2 linked regions of the Diceros bicornis minor genome follow. The protein of the gene in region 1 purifies or fractionates together with the protein of each later gene. This does not show direct contact. Links are inferred from orthologs where the notes say so. Each region holds a gene or a part of one and is shown on either strand. Other genes may lie near its edges. The genes, in order: FBXL4 and BNIP3L.

The links.
Region 2: the proteins of FBXL4 (region 1) and BNIP3L purify together in Homo sapiens (affinity purification with western blotting; 4 studies listed by BioGRID, with this or other methods). This does not show direct contact. The link is inferred for Diceros bicornis minor from reciprocal best matches to the Homo sapiens genes FBXL4 and BNIP3L.

The regions. Positions count from the first base shown.
Region 1 is NC_080762.1:34,883,048-34,886,963, reverse strand, and holds the start of FBXL4 (F-box/LRR-repeat protein 4), read right to left. Parts: upstream 3,190-3,916; 5' UTR 3,119-3,189; intron 1-3,118. UniProt on the Homo sapiens protein: Substrate-recognition component of the mitochondria-localized SCF-FBXL4 ubiquitin E3 ligase complex that plays a role in the restriction of mitophagy by controlling the degradation of BNIP3 and NIX mitophagy receptors.
Region 2 is NC_080750.1:67,540,363-67,544,278, forward strand, and holds the start of BNIP3L (BCL2/adenovirus E1B 19 kDa protein-interacting protein 3-like), read right to left. Parts: upstream 3,012-3,916; 5' UTR 2,940-3,011; coding exon 2,840-2,939; intron 1-2,839.

The sequences.
Region 1 (3,916 bases):
CATCACCCTGCAGAAATTGGGGCTCAAGGAAGTGGCACAAAAAAAATGATGAAACTCTGGCTACCGACTGTTGTTGCTATGCTTTGTCTCTGACCCAGGAGTCGCACATCTTCTGCCAGTATCCATGAACTGTTAGCTTGCAAGTAGGGTAAAATCTCAGATCCTTGACAATTCTTGGCAATGATATGGCAGCAGCAGCATTCTTATAAATGGTATAAATTTACTCTTACAACAACCTTTTGAAGAGCAATATGGCACAATCTATCATAATTTAAAACGTATATAGTCTTTGACCCAGCAATTGCACATCTAAGCATTTACACTAAGGAAATTAACAAACATGCAGATACATACATACAAAAATGATCCCTGCAGTTTTGTTTGTAATAGAAATAAATTTGGAATAGTGTAAATATCAACAGGGGATTGGTTAAATAAATTCTAGTTATTCCTACAATAAAATACCAAAAACACTTTAAAAAGATAATATTATATGCACTGACATTGAAAGATGTTCACCAATTATTACTAACTGGAAATTATAGAAAATTATATAATACACTGCCATTTATGAAACAAATATGGACTTGTACACATGTATTTTTAATGTCTGGAAGGAAAGAGAACAAATAATTAAACAGTGATGATCTCTCAAAAACGAGGTTACAAGGTAGGTGGGCACAACACTTTCACTTTCTCCTTTGGCTATTTCTATATTACTCGACTTTTTTTTTAAAGAATATATACATTTATTTTATAATCTAATAAAGTTTCCAAGCAGCTATCATAGCCACATCTGAAAATTCATTATATTTAAGATGTCCAGTTGGGATGGTAAAATACAAATGGACATGAGGCTGTCCCCGGGATCGCGTCCATAGACATTTATCCCGTAGAGCTGCTAAAACGAGGTAAAGAATACCCCAAGTGATAGCTGATGAGGAGAGACACACTACACTTACTAACACACAATGCCAAGTCAAAAGACTGCAGATTCCAAAGAAGATATACAGATGGCCAACGGCCACATGAAAAGATGATCAACACCACTAATCATTAGGGAAATGCAAATCAAAACTACAATGAGATATCATCTCACACCCATCAGAATGACTATCATTAAAAAGATAAGAAATAACAAGCTTTGGAGAGGATGTGGAGAAAAGGAAATACTCGTACACTGCTGGTGGGAATGCAAACTGGTGCAGCCACCATGGAAAACAGTATGGAGATTTCTTTAAAAACTAAAAATAGAAATACCATATGATCCAGCTATTCCACTGCTGCGTATTTATCCAAAGAACATGAAAACACTCATTCGAAAAGATATATGCACCCTTATGTTCACTGCAGCGATATTCACAATAGCCAAGACTCGGAAGCAAACTAAGTGCCCATCAATGGATGAATGGATAAAGAAGATATGGTATATACATTTAAGGGAATACTACTCAGCTATCAAAAAAGACAAAATCATGTCATTTGTGACGACGTGGATGGACCTTGAGGGTATTATGCCAAGCAAAATAAGTATGATGGAGAAAGACAATTACTGTATGACTTCACTCATATGTTGAAGATAAACAAACACACACATAGATAGGGAGAACAGATTGGTGGTTACCAGAGAGGTAGGGGGTACAAAAGGGGTAAAGGGGCACATGTATGATGACAGATAGAAACTAGAGTTTTGGTGGTAAACACAATGCAGTCTATACAGAAGCCAAAATAAAATGATGTACACCTGAAATTCACACAATGTTATAAACCAATGTGACCTCAATAAAACAAAATTTAAAAATGCATGCAGATTTTGAATCGAGCTGCTTCTCTATGTACAACTCTGAGAAGCAACTCTACATGGCGAGTTCTGAGTTAGCAAGAGAAGGAATTTAACAATGGTTAATGATTCAACTGACTATGGGAAAGGCAAGCTAAAAAAAAAAATTACAAGAATAGGCAAGAAACTCTAAAGGAGGGGGAAGGAAGGGGTAAAAAAAGGAAATCAACGTACCCCCATTAAATGTAAAAGCCAAAATTTGGGATAGCAGTTACAAAAAAAAAGTTGGTACTCAGAAAGGAAGTATGGAAAGAAGAATCCAATTCAAGGAACAATTACAGAGTGCCTACTGCGGGGTGATACACATCGCCACTAGAAAGACAAGTACATTGTCCCTTTCCCCCAAGAACTTAATAGGATTGTTGATATATCAGGAGAATCTCCCTCTGTTCAACCACCAGGTACAACATGTAATAGAAGACAACAGAAGCATGAAGCGAATTTTAAGGAAACTATGTGCCTATATTCTGAACTTAAAGAAACCGAGGAGCGCAAGCCAGGAAGCAGTCAAGACAGCTTGTGTGCTCGAAGAGACCAGAAAAAGCAAGATCCCCGGACGTGCTGTCAGTGAGTCCCCCAGGGCATAAAGCCAGACACAGTGTCCTGCCAACGCACCTACCTAACCACAGGTTTATATCATCTCGACTTTCTAATTATTTGTATATTTCAATTAGTGAATGCATCCCGAGGCTTTGTAGCAGTTAGCATTTGGGAAACCACCAAAGAAATCTAAAACCACTCCCACTGTCAACATGTTGACAAGGAGGCCAAGTGGATGTTCATCATCACACTACACTCTCAAGACAACCCTAAACATAGAAACAAGATTGCTGCCGGGTATCCTGTGGCAGTCCTGAAGACGGACAGGGGCCTGGTTAGGCAAAAACCATCCCACGCCAGAGGGAAGTCAAGGCAGCACGCACAGGAGCGACAAGTACCCAGGCAGGCCGGTGGCCAACGCAGGGCAGCAGGGTCAGCTGGGCCCGCAGACACCGCGTGTAAACACCCACGCGCCGCGCGCACGTCGGGGCGACGCCTCACGCCCTGCGGACACGCTGGTGCAGAGCAGCAGCGCCCAAGGCACGTCAGCTGTCCTCAGGGTCCCCAGCAAGCTCCGCCGGCGCAGCGCGGGCTTCGGGGGAGGGGCGACCGGCAGGGACCTCAGCTGGGCGCCCAAGCTCCCCAAAGCGCGGCGCTCCGCCCTGACCCGGCCCCGCCCCAACGCCGAAGGAGAAAGAGGGAGACCCTCAGGAGGGAGAAGGAAAGGAAGGGCCGTACCCTGCAGCGTCCCGGAGAGGCGCGCGCCGCGGGCTTCACCAGAGACCAGGCGGCGCGGGAGGCCCGGGCGCGGGGGCGGCTCCCAGACGCCGCGCTGCGGCGCAACGGCGGCGAGCCCGGCCCAGCGCGACCCGGAAGGAAGACGCAGAGGCCGCGAGGAGGGGAGGGGCGGGGCCAGCGGGGAGGCGGAGCAGGTCCGGCGGGGGCGGGGCCAGAGGGAAGGCGGGGTGGGGCGGGGCCGGCGGGAGCGGGGCCAGAGGGAAGGCGGGGCGCTGCCCCCGCTGGAGGCCGTCCGCAGCGTCAGAACCGCCTTCTCCTAGGCCGAGGGGAGGAGCTTCCAGCTGGTTTTCCAGACCCAGTCGTGCCCTATAAATTGCCAGATACTCCCCAGCGGGCACTGGTTGCAAATTTACTGCGAGAGTAGTTCTTTCCTCCCACCGGCCTGGCACCTGTAGTGAAGTCCTGCTAGGGCTTCTTCAATCCAGAGTTGGTGGGTCAGGTGATGCATAGGGATTACAGGTGGTAAGGTCCTCAGAGGAAGAGGGGAATATGTTATAGGCACTCTAAAGGCATAAATCACCAAGTTGGCAAACCTCTTCTGCCCCAGATAACAAATCCGCCGTGCGGGTTCATCTCTCTTCCAACATTCTGAAGCCGGTGATCATTACCTCTGATGAAGAAGATGCTCTCATGGTCTTCCTTACTCAATCGTTTTTATTTATTTTCAGTAGATACAATATCACCCTTTTTTCAGTTTGCATCATCTTTATCTTGTTACAAGGTTTCTATTAAGATGGA
Region 2 (3,916 bases), on another chromosome or scaffold:
TCCTGAAGATTGAATCCAGATCAAGAACTGTCATTGACATTCTTCTAAAAACAAAGTTTGTCCTTTTGCACAAGTAGGTACTTACACACCAGTTACTTTTGTATTCAAAACAGTATCACAAGGCAGTGAAGTTTCACATGTCATAGCCTTAAAAGCCTTCTTGCCACACTGGGGAAGCAAGTATACCATGGTCGAAGATGTTTAAAAAGAAAATAAAAGGCTGTTCTTCCTACAATAAACAATAACAAAATTCTACTGCCATGATTTTCCTTATATTACTGACTGAATTTTAAGACATAAATGTCCAAAACAAATATTCTTAAGTAACTTGATAGTTTTCTCAGGAATAAAACTAACAACTGGAAACTGGAAAATATCCTTTTAACTTTGGAAGTAGTTCAGATATTTGTCCACTAATTTGTAATGAAAGTGTACAGTCCTCCTACAATGCTAAACTAAAAAAAAAAAAATCAGAGAAAGGTTTCATTATTCCACATATTTCAATAATTTGCTATTAAAACTCTGCTTTGACCTCTGAACTAAAGATAAAATCCCAAGCCAAGGATAATCTGTACAATGAGTTCATCTCCTGTTTTTCTTAGTTGTGCAACTTTACCCAACAAAGAACTTCAACTTATCAGCAATTAGGATAGTATTAGATGCCTGAATAAGTTGTTTTGCTCCGCACTCAAAAATCACTTGAAGGAATCAATAAGCCTTCTTGTTTTGTTCAGTCCAGTGTTGTATAATGAGCTAAAAAAAAAAAAAAACCAGTAAAAGGCAAAAGGCGAGGAATGAAATATGGCACTAAATAAAAGCTTTTCAGTCACTTTTAAAAGCTCACCCTACCCCAAATACAACACTTTCTATCTAGCAGATTTCCCAAAGCAACATTTTGATATCCCACACAGGCTGAGTGTTCTTCCACTTCTGTAAGAGCTGTTATACACGCAGCAGCTACTGATTGGCCAAGGACATCAAATACTTCAAAGGGCTGTGAGACTCAGAGTCAAACAATCACATATAGCTCAACCTCATTTTTTTGTTAAATGGTCAAAGGAAAATTAAAATTCCTCTGCTTTCTGTGAAATGTACACACAGGTAACCAAACACCCAACTTACACAAGTATCATAGGAAAACACTTGGGTACAATTAAAAAACGGTATATTAAAAAGAGATAGGCAGGTCACCTCTGTACATTAGGTGGAATAACATGCTGAGAGAACAAGAAACCCACACAACCAGGGGATTCTAGGCCACTGAAGTGTCCTGAAAGGAGCACTAGGTCTGGTAAAAGTAAAAACCTCAGCTCTAGGTGCCAGCCTGCTGTGAATCTGGACAGCACACTTTAGACGGGTAAATAACACGGGCGAGTTCTCTCTCAAGTCTCCTCCCATTCTAAAATCCCATGCTTCTGAAGAGTATGCTAAAAAGGGGTAAATAATTTAAAAATGCATATTAATATGTGAAGCAAATAACATTCAAAGACATAAATTAATCCTAATTTACTGCGGGAAATAATATATAAATCTTACATTCTAGAACATAAAATAGACAAAAGTTTTAAAAAGTCAACATTTAAGAAATTTATCCACCAAAAGATGGAGCAACAGCAATAAGCAATGATAACATCTTAAAATACTCTAATTCTATCCCTATCTTGTGAGGACAGGAACTCTCTTCCCTAAAATAATCTTTAGGCCATGCTGCAACACCTCCCTCTGATGAAATACATAGCAATGCCTTTAAACGTCATTTAAGCACCCAAATGATTTTTAAACGATTTCATCTAGCCATATGGTAACTGTCCCAACTACCTCTTTCATGAGATGAATTACAGAATGGTTAGGCAAGAACGTATTCAAAAAGACTCCGAGCTCTAAAGACAACAGGGACCACCTTAGCACAAGATGTCTGGGCATCAGAATGTTCTGAAAAGCAACTGTAGCTGACCGCAACTCAATATTGCCCAGTAACTTTCAATCGCCCGTGTGTGTGTCTTTTTAATCCCTGTTTCTGAAAATTCATTGCCCCAGACTCCGTGATTTGTGCAATCTTGGATGGCTCAAGAGGCTGTTCATAAACAGTTTTACAGGGCACATAACCCCATCGCTTCAAAAACAAAAAGAAAAAAAAAAAAGACACTTGAGTAACTCTGAAAAATCTCAAAAAAAAAAAAAAAGGGTAGCATAGGCTCCTCACCCCACCTCTCTGTGATACAAGTAACCACTAAATTACCAAATGATTTTCCTGACCAGCCCGCGGTAACAAAGGCCCGCGACAAGAGGGCTCACATTCGAGCCCTAAGGGAAGGCCGACCAGGGAGGTGGGGTCAGCGGGGCCGGCCCACGCCCCGTCGCACACCTGACCGCCCGCCATCCCTCGGGCGCCCCCTCCCCTGGGCCGGCCGGCCGCGTCCATCCCCCGGCGTCCCCGCCGCACGTCCCCATCCCTGCCCACGTCCCCTCGGCCGCCCGCTCCGCCCACCCTCCCTCCCCGCGCCTGAGGCCCGCCCCTCCACGCCCCGATTGGCTCCGCTCAGGGGCCCACCACAGGTGGGATCGGCTCGTCCCCATTCTCTTCCCACCCACCTGCCCTCCCCGACACCTAACCCCAGCAGCCCCTCACCCAAAACCCCGGGAGGAAGGGGAGACAGGTCAAAAGGAAGACAAGAGCACTCCTCCTGACAGGTAACGGGAGCTGTCAGTCACCCTCACATTCTCGGCCTGGACCAATGGGCTGCCTTCTCCTCCCGCCCCGCGCGCGGAGCTGGCAGCGGCGGCCACAGCAGCTCCTCCTCCCCCATCCCCTTCACGGAGCCCGCCGGCCCGCACTCACTGTTGAGGCCGGCTGGCGGGGGCAGAGACTGTTCACCGTCCTCGCAGTTGTTGTTGTTGTTGTGCAGGGGCGGCGGCTGCTCTACTAAATGAGACGACATTGTCGGGCGGCTGGAAGAGCTGCGGCCGCAGCAGGACCGTCTCTGGTTCTCGGGCAGCAACACAACAAGCCGAGTCCCCCGCCCCCTTTTCTGCGCCTGCGCAGTCCCTCCCCTGCCCCTGACGTCAGGGCCCGCCCCAGCCACGTGATGACAACACAACAAGCTGCGGGGCGGGGCGCGGGCGTTCCCAGGCCGGCTCCGGACGTGGAGACGCGAGAGTCACGCTGACGCGCGCGCCAGGAATGAGTTCTTGCGTGTTATTTGTACTGGTCTGATAAAGTGAGTTATGCGGCTGGAACTGGGCTTAGAGGCTAGGGAGAAGTGTGTAATGAGGAAGTGTAAGGTGCTCATGTGTTGACAACAAAATATTCCACACCTACAGGGTCAGCATTGTTTTAGCCAATCCGTGAGCACTTCTTGTTTAATGTCTGTAAGGACTCACTTCTGTAATAGGTATCATGGTGACACAAAGGAAGCAAAAACCCTGCTGCCTTCCCCGCCATAAACTAAAGCAAAGCTGGTGGAACATTAACACTCCAAACAGGGAACAACATAAGGCAGGCCAGACTTTGTTGTTGTTAAGGAATTTCAAAGATTTTAATTACAAATGTAACTCGAGATCATTGTAAAAATTGGAAAATTTTAGGAAAAGATAGAGAAGAAAATAATCACCCAAATACCATCACCTAATTTATTTCTGGGACATAACACGAGAAGCCATGTTTCCTATATGTGGGCAGCACGAAACTACTTTTTGTGCTTAAACACTACACCTACTTCATGTATCCATATCTTTGTCCAGTTTCCTTGGTCTGATTTATATGTGGCATATATTTCTCTCAGACTGTCACTTGTCTTTTAACTTTGTTTCGCTCTGCAGACGTTTAAAATTTTCGTGTAATCAAATCTATAATTTTTGTATGGCTTGGGAATACGCTCACACCAAGGTTATGAATCTATTCCCTATAACTTTTCTG